Oreochromis niloticus: one gene and its partner. The protein of the gene in region 1 purifies or fractionates together with the protein of each later gene. This does not show direct contact. Links are inferred from orthologs where the notes say so. Each region holds a gene or a part of one and is shown on either strand. Other genes may lie near its edges.

Region 1 (6,864 bases):
GCACAGAGAGATTGTGGCCAACAATGGGCTCGCAGTGATTGATTGCTCCTGGGCCAAACTGGAGGAGACACCCTTCAATAAGATGGTTGGAAGTCATCCCAGGTTACTGCCGTACCTCGTAGCTGCAAACCCTGTAAATTATGGCAAGCCTTGCAAGTTGTCCTGCGTTGAAGCTTTTGCTGCCACGTTCTGCATCGTAGGTAAGGGTTTAGGTTTAGTTATTCAGGAATACAGCAGCAACTGCTTTTTGTGTCTTATTTTGGTTAAGGCAGTTAAACTGTGACATATTGTTTCTGATATTGCAGGTTTTGAGGAACTGGCATTGCTCTTACTGAAGAAATTTAAGTGGGGGACAGCGTTTCTGGAGCTCAATAAAGTTCTGCTTGGCCGCTATGCTGCGTGTCAGTCGGAAGAAGAGCTCCTTGGTGTAGAGAAAGAGTTTCTCACTTCTAAACCAGAGGAAGAGGAGGAGTTTGGTAAATAACCTGGGGTTCCACGCAGTGTCTGGGTTTGTGTAGCAGTGGAGGTAGAGGGTCACTGTGTTTTGGTTCAACCTCTTTCTTGTTTTAGCTGTAGTTTGGCTTCGTGTACAACTAATGGCTCTTAAGTAAATCGCATTTATTGGACTTTAAGAGCTTTCAGATGACAATTTCAAGTAACTGTTTTAGTAACTGTTAAGTTTTAGTCGCATTTTTGTATCTTTGTAGCTGTTGCAGGGACAGTAAAAAACCGTATAGCATCATAGATTTTAAAAAACAAACATACAATAACAATATAACAATTCGGAAACAATATGTATACGATTTAGTGCAAAATGAGACCTGCTGTAGTGCAGTTAAAAGTGGGCATGTATCATCAGTGTTTGCACTAGCTCCTACAACAAAGTAGTGATTTTTCTGGCATAAGAGAAACTTTGATTGTCTTTTGGGGGTACTGGTAAAACATTAGCTGTGTTAACCCTAAAACACTAAAACAGAATGCAGAAATCACGCAGCAGAAAAGAAAGAAAACAAAGAGGCTGAAACGAGAAAATAAGACTAAAGCAGGAAGTTGTGTTGAAGTGGCTAGCTGTTGCATCACTTTAGATTTCTTAATAACAAATACAAACTAGAAAAAAAAGGACTTAGAAGGTAATTAGTTCTTGGACCTCTTGAGTGCAAAAATCTTGAGCCACTCCTAAGTTTTTCATATTTTGCATAGAAAATGCAAAGTAGGTGCAGTGATTTATTCAGACACATTTAAACAAATATGGAAATATAGCGTATAAGGCTAATACTATTCTAATGAGGTTGAAAGTGAATATTTGATGTGCCCACATTTATTCATCAACACAGCCTGAACTATTTCTGACTAGATTTCTGGTCCTTTTCTTAAAGTAGTCTTCATAAATGGTTCTCCAGGCTTCTTGAAGGACATTCATTCTTGGATGTTGGCTGCCTTTGGTTCTGTTCTCTGTCAAGATGATCCCACACTGCTTCAGTAATGTTGAGGCCCAGGCTCTGGGGAGGCCAATCCATGAGTGATAGTGTTCAACTGTCTGTTTTTCTATCCAGTTATGCTGTTACTGCATTGGCAGTGTGTTTGCTGAAAAATTGAAGGCGTTGCCAATTAGATGCTTTCCACATGGTTGTATCACCAGATAGTGGATCAAAATCTGAATGTACATTCTTGTCTGTAAATTTTGGCAAGATACATTTTCCCAACACCTCTCTCCTGAACTTCTCTGTACATATTGATGATGATTTGAATCAAAAATGTACAATTTTTATTTACTCCATTTTTTTCAGTCCAGTACTTCTTGTTAGCCTTCTTTAAGAATTGATTCTTGACATGGATTTCATTCGTCTGACAGCATTTCTGATGAGGCAGTAGATGGATCTTTCTTTAAAACATGACTTTCAGATGTTACTGTTTACTGTAGGTAGTATTTTTAGGCCTGCCACTTTCTTTTGTCTTCCATTTGTCTAGTTTCTTCAAATTCTTTAAGGACATATGCAGACCATTTCGAGATATGCCAAGGTTTTAGCTAAAAGCTCTTTGGGAATCACCTTGTTGGTGTAAAAATACTATTTCATGCTTGTTAAGCTGTTATCTTTGGGATTTTCGTAAATTCAACAAAATAAATGAGAAACAATTGTTTTTGTAACAAGAAAGTGCTTAAAGATACAAATTAAAGTTGGTTCTTGGCTTAATTTTCTGCAGTGTAGAAACAACAAAGGTCATCTCTTGAGTTGGGTCCCTTTTTGTGTTTGATTAATTCACAAGTCAGTGTTAAGTGGCTTAACAAACATTCCCTTGAAAATGGTCAGGTATTGGACTGGATTAAAAATGAGTGAAAAAGCAGCCACTATCCAAAGACAAACTTTGAAAGAGGTTCAGAAAGCCTGGAGAACTATTGCTCGAAACCACTTTGGAAGCAAATATTAAGAAATGAGGGATTTTTGCACAGTATTGTTGGTCATAATCAACTGTTTGATTCAAATGTATTTTTATTTTGGAAAGGTTCACTTTGGAAATGGCTGAATCTGAGTAATTGCTAATGAATAATTAGAATAATTTTTATAGTTTCCTGTTGTGACTCACATTTGCTAAATTGTCACCAGGAAACCAGTGTTCTCATATTTGTTTATAAGATATAAAACTCGTATTATTTTTAAGACTTTAAAGACAATTAGTAATGAATATTCCAAGGGGAAATAAATGTCATTATGAAGTGTTTTGTCTGATTGATTATCCTGTGGACATTGATATAACTGTTCCTTGCGTTGTTTCCTTGCCTTGTAATCAGGCTGCCTTGTTGTTTCTTTTTCCTTTCCTTATTGGATTTTGACTCATTTGATTTTGTTTGAATCTCTGAACACATCTGGCCAGTGATGAGGAAGTCTGTATCCAGGCTGATTGTCTGGAAATGTCTAGAATCTGGATGTGTATTTTTGTTGCTGAGTGACCTGTAGTGCAGAATTAACTGTCCTCGTAATGAAAGCTACACATCTGTTTTGTTCACAGATCCATTTGATGTTAACTCTGGAGTAGAATGCATGAATCTCAACAGACGTCAGTGGTAAGTATTGATCTAGCACATCTTCACATATCTCTTACTTAGTTTTCTTAGTGGTGATGTTTATATGGCATAGAAATTACCAGCATAATTTTAAAAATGGCAAGAATTCTCTTAAAATAGGCTTTAACGATTTGTTTCCTATGTTTACTGAGTTCATTTCTGTGTTTAGTGCACCTGTAGAAGATGACTCCAGTGAGGACACAGACCCCTCAGAGGAAGATGACGAAGATGAAGCAGAAGATAAAGAAACGGAAAGCAATGACGAGACAAGAACAAGCTCACATGACCATGATGAAGAGGATTGAACCAAAGACTTTACACTAAATCATATTTCAACTGTGGGTTCTTTTTAATACACGACTGTTTTAAAATGCTCAAAAAATATTTTGGCACGTATGAATGGTTATGTATTTTTTTTGCCTATATGTTTATGTAAATTAATGAACTTTGTGATGCATGTCAACTAAATAGAAATAAAGTAAGGGTGTTTATTATTATTATTGACATTTAAAACACATATTTTTGGTTTATTGACAAAATATTTATTAGATTAAACTTTTGTTTGTTGGAATATACTTGGTTGCCACAGTTTCAGTTTCACACAAAGCGTTTTATGGCTATTGGTCATTTTTGTCAGTTTGGGTATTTAGGAGTGCTTCTTCACTTAAGTTTAGTTACACTTGAATAAAAAAGACCTGTAGATCCTTCTTACTGCCATATATTCAAAGTTGGTCTAAAACGGGAGTTTGTAGGCCACAACTGCTACCGTCTGACTCCGGCCCTATCAGTAAGATGAAGTTCAGTAGGTTGTTAATGTGGCGAGGGGGCGGACACAGCGGGACTCTCCTCTGCTGTCCTGCGGTAACATTGTTGTGGAACGACGTCACAGCTCGAAAATGAAGGCGCAGAGGCAGCCATTACTGGAGCTTCTCTAATTATTTTATTCCAAATAAATACTCGCAGAAAACTCTCATGGCAAGAGCTACAAGTCAGGTGGTAAGTGTTACAACTTTGCCGTGAATACCAGCTCGAAGCCGGTGCTCAAAATGGTCAGTGTAGAGGCTGTGTGGGGATAAATAGTTACGTCGGGCCTTCATTTGAAGAGCAGTGCTAGCTGCAGGAGATCGCTTAGCCTTACGACTCACTAGCAGCTTGCTAGTTTGCTAATGTTGGCTATCGCAACACCCAGTGTTTGCCTTGTTAATTTGGATCGTCAAATCTCACACAGTATTCATGAGTCACACTTTCTCGACTTATTTGGGCCTTTTGAAACGTTTACCAGTACACGATAATGGTTACAGGGGGGACACATGAGCGTTTTCCTCTACCAGTAACTATTGGCTATTGATAGCTTAACAGGTTCGCGCTTTCGATATCCCCGTTTGCTAGCAGGCTAGCATTAGCTTTATTGCGTTCTTCCATTGGTTAGCATATATTTTGAAGGAAAGCGTTGTGCTATTCGAGTGTCAACTTTCAAATCTTCATATAAACGGCAGGAAACTAACTTTTTACACAATTAAGTGACGTTTCTTGAAAATGCCACACGGTTTTGAAGTTGCTTGTGTTGCCCGATTTGCTAACGTTAGCTAATTGGCTGTTGGCGTTAAGTTTGTAACTCACTGTCAGCGATGGCCGGCATTATTTGACAAGCCAGCAGGAGCTAACATTAGCTTCTTAGCAAGGTAAGTTCGCACAGGCCGGTTGTTTCACGACTTCTCAGAGTTAGGAAAACGTTATTCGGCGTTTTCCTCCAACCATTACATGCCTGACCAATAGCAGTGACTCAGTAGGTAGTTATATGGCTAGCTGAAATAGGCCGGAATAGGCAGCTAAAATAATGGCCACACCTTGGTTTTGAATGAGAAAAAGCTAGGCCAACTGAACTAATTAAACGTAAACTGAACTGCCAGCTAAACTACACACTTATTGTTCGGGTAATTCAGTGTGTTTATACATACATGACACCGGTACCGGGAATTTTTAGGAAGCACTATCTTTAAGTTTTAAACAGGCAGTTGGTGTGCCTCAGCTGCCATGTCAGTTTGATTATGTACACATAGATGGTGTGAGTTCAGCGCAGTTTATGTCTCAAGTATCACTGTCACATGAAAAATTAACTTTGACATAGTTTTTACAGCTTGAACACAGGTGGGTGGGACCACCAGGCTCAGAAGTGGCTCCTTAAGCAGTTCCTTCTTATCACTGTTAGACTTTGGTCTACAAGTGGTCTCACTTGTAGTAGTATGTTTAGGTTATTGTAATTTACAGAACTATAAGCAACAATAATTTTAAGCCAGCAGCCTGTAAAGTGCTTCGTGTAATATGTGAGTACATTTCTTTCTCTTCATGTGTCATATGTATACTTTGTGAAAGAGATTTAAGATTCAGGATTAATTATTATCATAACGCAACGGAAGGTTGCACAACAAAATTCTACATGGAGTTACTTCATGCTAATAAAGAACTGGATAGCAATGTGGATATAGCTATCATTAAAAATAATTAATTAATTTAGTTAATTTTCATGAGTGCAATGATAAAGTTCAGAGATTCCAAAGCATATGAAAGAAAATTCTTCAAAGTGTTGTTTACACCAGTGGGAACTTTCAGGTGTCAGTAGAGTGAGAAGACTGTGGTTGTGGTGGGTAACTTCTTTTAGTCTCATCTATGTAAACATCTCAACTCACCTTTGTCACCGGTGCCGGTGATGTTCTAGGAAGCTCATGTTTTTCAGTAATTAAGTTTAGCTGCTTTTGCCGTGTGCTCTTTGGGCCATCTAATCTGTATTTTGACAACTAATAGCCGCATCAATTACTAAATCCATCACAGACTGATGGAAAAACCTGAAATTCCTCATTTAAGTAATAGTTTAAAGTGCTGAATAACAAAACACATTTTCTTTATGCATTCATTTTTATTGAAAACGTTATTGAAATGTTAAATTGTTACTATTTTATCCTGATATTTTTGTCATCACTGTTATGTTCAATCCAGTAGTAGTTCAGATGGTTATACAGTCCCTCAGCTTTCTCAAGTAAAGAGCCTTTCCACATGTGAATTGTTATTTACCTGTGTCACCCTGCTTAATAACACATTCTTTATGATGCCTCTTTTTCTTGCAGTATGATGTTGTGCCCATTCAGCCCAGCGTTGTCATCTGTTCCTGCTCGCATCCATCAATGGTAAGAAACCACCCTGACTCCTGCTCGCCACTTGCAATCCCAGGCGCAAGCAGCAGCCACTGCCCCAGCATGGAGGGCGCAGCCTCACAGGCTTGTGGTGTAGGAGCATCTGCTAGCAGCCAGGCCCCACAGCTCTGCACACAGCCAGCCGTCCCGGCTTCTCAGCCACGCAAAAAGAGGCCAGAGGACTTTAAATTTGGCAAGATACTGGGAGAGGGCTCCTTCTCAACGGTATGTAACTTACATTCCACTTAGCTTTTGAAATGTACCGAGGAAGATGTTGCTACATGCTAGCGTTATTTTGATTAATGTACTTGGATGAGTCATGCTGAGTTCATTTTAGGTGAAGTGACAAGTAAGCCCAAGGAAATATTATTATTATTTTCCCTCAACATCTGACTGGTTGGTTACATGCCATATCATCTCACTGTTGTTTCTTATTCTAAGGTTGTCCTGGCAAGAGAGCAGGCAACAGGGAAAGAATATGCAAGTAAGTAATAACGTATAATGAATTGAGTTATACTAAAATGAAAAAGTTGCTGGGTTTACGTTTACTAACATTCTCTTTTCTCTCCTTTAGTTAAGATTTTAGAGAAACGCCATATTGTGAAGGAGAACAAA
Region 2 (7,943 bases), on another chromosome or scaffold:
CCCCCCCACCCCACCACCCGTAAATCACAGATGTAAAGGGAGGTGAACAACACCCCCGCTTCCCACCAAAACATGACACAAATTACAGACCACAACATCTGGTGAGTGGTGTGCACCAAAACACAGCGGGGTGGGCTGAGGATATATAGCCTAGCTTCACTCAAACTCATCCTCCTTGTTCACAGAAATACTTGGAAGCAGAGGCGTGACAAAAGGTAAGGTTGTAGTGGTCGTCAGCCAATAAAGACAATCCTGGCTGACTGAAATTGAGCTTTCTTTAGTTGTAGGGGAACCAAAAAAAACAAACAAAAATACAATTGCATGTTAACTCTAGATGAGCTACATCTAAAAGAGAGACGGAGGGTTTACATCCACCTTCTATTGGCATATGGTAGTGCCCTGAAGCTGTTGCAGGATGTGCCCGCTGTTACGAGACTATTTTTAGACCAAACTTATTGAAACACGCCAATTCTGGCATGCTCACACTCAAAGGTTACTCAAGCATGTAACACAGAACACCTGAAAGCAAACAGGTTAACATGCAAACTCGCCACTAATCAGCTCTGTTACGATCATGCCGCTTACACTTTGACTGACTTGACGTAAATGTTTAGGTCGTGTTAAAAGGTACAAACAACCTGTTTCCACAGGTAGCCTGCTCTAAAGATAATGGGTTAATCCTGGAAGGCTATTGATGTAGAGCTTTTCTCCTTATCAAAGTAACCCCAGGGATTGTCTGACCAATTTGTTCGGATGAGAGCGTATCGACCAACCGATCGACATGACAACTCGGAGATTCCAGACCTTGAAAAATGTCAGGGGAAACAATCAGACTGCCACAGGTCCACACTCACTACATCATCTTTGAGAGATATGACGACAGCAAGCATGCACGGTTTGGCAAAACCCGTCTTTTCATTAGCATGTGCAAGGACCTCACATGTGAGATTGCTGTAAAAGAATTACTCAGCAAGCAAGCTGGTGAGCAGGACAGCAAACCAAAAACACGATAAGTAAAAGAGGCACTAGTGGCGCCTAGAACTGCAGGGTAACAAAGAGTCCTGTCTCTTGCTCTGTGGTGATATAATTCCTTCTCTGAAGCCAGGAGCAGTTAGTTTTATCATTAAAATTTCAAAAGCCTCCAAGTGTTACAACATACCTCTGTGATGTAGTGGGGTAATTAACACACAGACAGATGTGCCTGAAGCAGGTTATCAACCACTTGTCAACATCGGTGCCAATACTGAGAATCAATGTCACGTGTCAATTTCCATCAAGGCCTTTAGGGGACACTGATAAAAGGGAGGCCAGTAATGATCAGGTTAAAGTCTGCGTGTGCCTGCGTGTATGAATAGTTGATGAAGATTTAAAAGCATGCCACTATGTGACAAGTTTTGCCAGATATTATATTTTATTCATATGAATCTAAAATGTAGCAAGAATTTCATTATAGGTCTATAATAGAAACTTCTGAACTGGTATATTCTAAACTGGTTCAACTTTATATGCATTTTCAAGAGTATAATTGTCTCTTGTACTGAAATTTTGAGGACCTTTACAAAACTTGGCATCCTATAGTGAAAGTATGGTGAAGACTCAAATGGTTTCTTGCAGACACAGAGAAAACATTAAAATAAAAAAAATGTTTAAAAAAAAAAAAAAGTACTCTGGGGGTGACATCATGTAAAACAATGAGTCATTAAAACAACAGTGACTGAATCAGCTAATTGGACAAGTGGTTCTAACAGTGGAGGAGGCGCTGTGCCAGGCGACAAGTCACAACCCACAGAGAAACAACAGGAGGGGACAATAATGACAGAGGCTGCACATAAAAGTGCCAAAATCTGTCATTCCAACAACCCAGCCAATTTACAGGCTGATGCCCACTCAGTTAGGAGACTTACTCGAGCCTGAAACTGGGAAGAGATAAGGGAAACTTCACTGATTTTTTTAAGCATCATTAAGATGATTCTTCTCATCATGATGAAGGGGGGATAACAGAATTCTCCAGTCTCCAGTCATGATGACATTTCCTCAATAATGCAACTACTGTGGGCATGAATCTGCACAGTTGTCTCCACGGGGATTAAGAGATCCTCGTGAAATCACTGCAACACAGCTGTACAGAGCACCTCGTAGCCAGTTTAGTGACCCCTCGTTCCAGCCTAACTTCGCTCGTATAACGGCAATTAAAGTGTGTGGAAGACTAAAGCCGAGCACCTCTGGGTAAATAAGAACGAAGGCAGGCTTGAATCTAAAGGAAATGAATACTTGAGCACAAGGGCAGCAGTAGCCTTTATTGTAGCTGGTTAAGATAGATTAGCTGACAACGATTTATCATTCTAGACAACCCTTCTCGTTATTTGCCGTGCAATTAAAAAAAATAAAAAATAAAAGGAATGCTTTGACGGGATTTCTCTAACAGCTACAAACAGCAGCGAGTTGTCTCTACGTGGACCCAAGTCGCCTTCCTCGCCCCCCTTCACAGCCCAGCTCAATGCCCAGTAGTTTAAGTTTGCTTTCCCAAAAAACCCAAAAACTTACCGTTTCCTCGGCGAGGAAAAGAACCAGCCCGAGGGTGAAAATTATCCAAACGTTCCTCATAATTCCTCTTTGAGGGTTAAAAACGCGTTGTTGCAAACGAAATGTCAGATGTTTCCCCACTCTTCTTCTTCTTCTTCTTCTTTCTCCCCTTCGTTTTCCTTGCACCCAACTCCTGCCGCTTCTCTCTCTCTCTCAGGAGTGGGATCCCACCGGATACGTGTTGCGTTTTGATTATTCCTCCTCCCCTCACCCCGGGCACTTCTTTTTTTTCTTTCTCTCTTTTTTTTATGCTGGGTAAAATCTTACAAAATGTATGTAACCGCACAAATGCGCACGGTTTAACAGCGAGGTCCTCCGCGCGCCGGTATGTGTGTGTCAGTGGAATCTGCACGAGACACCTCGCTCTCCCTCCGCGCGAGCGCTCGCTCGAAATAAGAAGGGGGCAAAGTGTAGAAGCGCGAGCACGGCGCCACCGGCGCTCCGGTGAGTGCGTGCGCTCCTTCCGACCGAGTCACCGCGAGACGCAGAGAGAACTTGTGAACGAGCGGCCAAAAGCAAGCCAGTAACGACACTCACAACAAATCGCTCGTGTAGTTTTATTGGTGTACAGTAAGTCTTTATTTTAATGAGTTTACTATTGTCTATTATTTCAACCCGGGAGGTCGGATAACAATTCTACACGAGGATAAAAGGCTCGGCTAAATGAGCCATTTATCTCCTTGTCTGCGTAACAATCCTTAATTGCACCGTAATGAGGATTACACAGTTTAATTCAGCAACTGCGCCAATTTACAATCAAGCCTCGAGTTTGTCGTGCAGCAGTTTTACCAACACGTTTGATTAGCCTCTGCAGCTGTATTTTTGTATATGAGATCAGTAAACAGGCTTTATGTGAATAAAGCGCAAAGCACCCTGTTAGAAACACGCTCACAATATGGGTGGAAGTAATGCTATGGGCAAAGTCTCCCCCTGTTGGTATGAGTTGACAACTTTCTCTAGAAGCTGAAATCTGCAATTCTGCAGTTTGTGATGAAAAGCAAGGCTGAACATTTAACTTCTGATGTTTGCATTCACCTTCATCGCACCTTTTTTTCTTCTTTGTTCGCAGATTTATTAAGTATATTGAGTGGTTCCTGGTTCATTAGTGTTAGGTAGCTCTTGGTAAAGTATTGCACCATAACAGGTTGTGTCATTTCTAGTGAATTCTTCATGTTTACAAATCATCAGCTCAAGCCTCTGAGGCAACACACACACATCCTGACATCTTCAGATTCACAAGACTAAGTGCTTTTTCATCTAATCATATTAAAACAAAATAAAACACTGAAATAAAATGCCATTTGAGGCACAAAGTATGGGCACAAAACTAAATTCCAGGGAAACATTTTTTTTAAAAGATTCCCTGAGTGTTATTAAAAGGCTATTAGACAAATGTGGTATGCTTTAATTACATTTCAATCAGTGGCAGACACTTTTGTACAAAGGGTGGTAAAAATCAGAGCCGGAGCGTATCAAAGAGAAGCCTTTGAGATGGAGCTTCAACACTCTGTTCCACTTTCCACCTGACACAAGTGGCACTCTGCTTGTTGGTGCATGAAAGAAAGTTGCAGGCAATCACCCCCTCCTTTTTTTGAGGGGTTGGGAGAAGTTGCTGAAGGAGAATCAAGGTAAACAGCATTACTGAAAGATGGTTTTGTACCTTTGCAGTAACATAAGCACCATATACTTTCAACTCAGCAAGATTTCCAAATTGCTCACTAACATCCAAAATCAGAGAAGAAAGCATTTGCTAGTCACCTTCTAAAAGCCACACTGACAGTCCACTCTTTGTGCAAAGTGCAATCTTAAACTGATGATAACAAATAAGGTCAAAGGTTCCTATATAAAGTATATAACAGGGACTAGTATACAGTTAAATGTATGTGCTGTTTATGCACTACACAGTGATCTGCTGACTTTATGCATCAATCTCTGACATGGCAATAACTAATTCATCTTCAACACTTGCATGGGGGGAAAAAAGATGTGAGACACACCATTTGAATTACAAAACTTTTCTCAGGTGACATCACTTCTGGATTGCTTATTTCAAAACGGATCTTGAAAAGGGCACTTAAATAATTCACCAGAATATTCTGTGGAAGGAAGTGTCGAACAACTTCCAGCTGTTTGCATGGAATTAAAATTAATTTCACTACCCTGTGCTGAATTGAGAGTGTACAGTCAGATTAATTATGCCTTTTTCCTTGTGTTTTGGAAAATTGGCTTTGGGTTTCAGGGACACAATTAAATTCTAGGAATGGTCATGTGATGGTTTACATGAACTAAATTAGGCTTTATTAAAACCTAAAGAGAAAAGCATCATGAAGCATACTGGGATTTAATTCTTTATATCAGAAATGTTAATGAAAAACCTTTACTTGTTTTATCTCCAAATAGTTTGACTGTCATTAAACAGCTAATTTTACACACAAAGTGAGTAAAAATATTCCTCAGAATACATTTTGATGAACAGCCTTTTTAGTTTAACTTGAGTTGTTATCAATACTCCCGAGCCAGTTTAACACCTCTGATTATTAATCCAGGTCAGTGAGAGAGATGCATTAACAGACAAGGCAGGTTTCACTCTGTTGAGTATCTGTCAGTTTGCCTGTTATTAGCCACAGTGAACTAGAGGAGGAGGAAGGCAACAGGAACAAGGGAGGAGACAGAGAGGGAAAGTGATATTAATCATCAGGGGGGAAAGACGGTAGCCAAAGAAGAACAAGAGTAGCATGTGACCTTTACAGTTCTCCCTGTGCCTGTCTTTAGACCATTCATCCTCTGCAGTGATGGGAATAACGGCGTTACAAGTAACGGCGTTACTAACGGCGTTACTTTTTTCAGTAACGAGTAATCTAACTAATTACTATTCCTATCGTTACAACGCCGTTACAGTTACTAACAAGGTAACGCGGTCCGTTACTATTTTTCAACAAACAGTTGAAGCCGTGTTCAGTTCACCGCATCTTATATCAGCTCCAGGAAGTAGCTGTAAGTAATCTGGGCGCTACAGCTTTAAGCAGCTGCGCGCTCCCGCACGGACGGTAATCACGATCACTGTCTAGCACAACACCTGGAGCTAAGGAGGCAAAACAATCGCATGAGTGCTGCTGTTTGACTGAGGAAGAATAAAGTAGTCGTGGTAAGCCAATCACATGACCACTTAAAGACAAAGCAACAAGGTGCTAGTTTATAAATTGTGTCGATAGGCCACGTAAAACCAGAGTCATGATAAACGATATATACGCGGCGTTTTTTCCTCAATAGTTTCGCCACGTTAGCGCTAGCAAGCACTCTCTGCTTATGAGCAAAAAAACAAAACAAAACAGGGGAAGTTTTAGGAGTGACGGAGAGAGAGAGAGAGAGGGAGAGAGAGAAAGAGGGAGAGAGAAAGAGAGAGGGAGAGAGAGCAGGAAAAGAGAGAGAGAGAAAGAGAGAGCGAGTTTTGAGATGTGAGATTTGTGACGTTTAGCGTGTTTGGAGTGTGTAGTTAATGTGTTGTCTTGTGTAGTTAGTGTGTAGTGTTGTGGATAGTTTTGTGTTGTGTGTCAGAACAATGAGGCGACTGCTGTCTCCAGGTAGAAACAGAGGTGATACACCTGCTGCTGTCAGACCTGCAGGTATCAGGCTGTGATGTTCTCCTTTATAGTGGACAGAAATGATTTTTTTGGAGTGGCACAAATAATTTGTGTGGCATCTTATTGAAGAACAGCTGATTGTTCTGTAAATAGTTTGAAATGGTTATTTAAAAAAAGGGTAAAAGGTAAATGGATGCAAATAACTTTGTTGTTTGCAAAACTTGTGCATAGGATTTTAAAATTGACAATTAATATTTGCATTTGAAGTTATAAAATATGATTCATTAAACATGTTTATGGTTGTTACAGTAAAAATATAACTTTTTCTACTCTGATTTTATGTTTTTTGTCTGATTTTAGATCAATTCTGGTTATACAGTATGACAAAATGAGAACATAACTGTAAATTCAGGCACGCGAGGTTGCGCTAAAAAGAATGATACCAAACAAGGCAAAGCAAATAGTTTTTAAAGGTAAAATGTGGAGAGAAAATCAAGAGTAGTAAAAAAATGGCCAATTATACCCTGGACGCCAGAGGGTTAAACGTTCTTTGTTTTTTTTTTTAAGTAACGCAATAGTTACTTTTCCAAGTAATTAATTACTTTTAGAATATTGTAACTCAGTTACTAACTCAGTTACTTTTTTGAAGAAGTAACTAGTAACTATAATTGAATTACTATTTGAAAGTAACTTGCCCAACACTGATCCTCTGTGACCTGAATAAAAACAAGCAAGAAAAACTGAATTGTGTCAGAGGCACTTGGGTAAAAATCAAGTACACTTCAAAATTTTGAAATTAAAACTATATCCTGCGACCCATCCCCCATCCTAATGCTTCCCAGGCTCTCTCTTTCCTATCCTCACAGGGCTTAAGTCTACTCCTGGTGTCCCAGATTACACAGCCAATTAGGGCAAAGGCAAAGCCCCTTCTGCTTCCAAGCCTGGCTAGGGTGGTGCGTGTGTGTGTGGCACTAGTTCACATGATTGGGAGTCTTGTTTCAAACAGCACAAGGACCCATAATGACAAAGTCAACTGAAGGAAAGCCTTCAAAGACCTAAAATAAATAAATAAAATCTTGGTGTGAAGCATGCATAATTTTACATATCACCTAGTTTGAATTATGAGCACGCTGAGGTCGACTTGCTTTATTTTTCTATGTGAACTGAATACATTTCATATTCTATAGAAAGGAGACCTTCAAAAGTGTTATGGATTTCATTATATTTTATTCAACAGCACCACCAGCTGGAAGCACTAAACAGATTTATATTCAGAGGCATATCCCAACAAATAGCATGTATGATAACAGTCCAGGAATATGATTTTTGAAAATGAGCCACACATGAAAGACTGAAATCTCAGCTTCTACCTCATTCTTTGCTTTCTTTACCTGTGTGATGTGCAAATAAATGTTAGGCCACTGAGAGTACACACATTCACATGCAAGTCATTCAATATGCAAGGTTTTCAGTGTGCAGTTTAATCTTTATGTGGATGGTGCTTCCATGTCTGAAAAGGCCATCGACTTGAATCCTACGAAGGACAACTCGGTACCCTGAGCACAGATTCCAGAATGATCTGCACTGTTATTAACATCACTGTCTACTTCCTTGTCCTTATCCTCGTCAAAAGGTTTCTGTTGTCCACAGGGCAGCAGTGTACTGTGGCTGAATTGATCCAAAGGCTTCCCGAGAATCCCAAACCTGATTAAATGAAAGAAAGATTTCAAACAAACAAACCAAACACAGTGCTATCTTGGAGGAAATATTATCTATAAC

What was found.
Region 2: the proteins of pdpk1b (region 1) and sdc2 purify together in Homo sapiens (affinity purification with mass spectrometry; 4 studies listed by BioGRID and IntAct, counting the BioPlex papers as one, with this or other methods). This does not show direct contact. The link is inferred for Oreochromis niloticus from reciprocal best matches to the Homo sapiens genes PDPK1 and SDC2.

The regions. Positions count from the first base shown.
Region 1 is NC_031973.2:19,344,085-19,350,948, forward strand, and holds the start of pdpk1b (3-phosphoinositide-dependent protein kinase 1), read left to right. Parts: upstream 1-3,864; 5' UTR 3,865-4,033; coding exon 4,034-4,057; intron 4,058-4,150; exon of another isoform or gene 4,151-4,743; intron 4,744-6,183; coding exon 6,184-6,474; intron 6,475-6,690; coding exon 6,691-6,733; intron 6,734-6,823; coding exon 6,824-6,864. Other genes in the region: tsr3 (18S rRNA aminocarboxypropyltransferase), read left to right, coding at 7-200, 306-476, 3,007-3,061, 3,231-3,366. UniProt on the Homo sapiens protein: Serine/threonine kinase which acts as a master kinase, phosphorylating and activating a subgroup of the AGC family of protein kinases.
Region 2 is NC_031985.2:14,750,501-14,758,443, reverse strand, and holds the start of sdc2 (syndecan-2), read right to left. Parts: upstream 3,013-7,943; 5' UTR 2,605-3,012; coding exon 2,545-2,604; intron 1-2,544. Other genes in the region: ppp1r36 (protein phosphatase 1 regulatory subunit 36), read right to left, coding at 7,652-7,868. UniProt on the Homo sapiens protein: Cell surface proteoglycan which regulates dendritic arbor morphogenesis.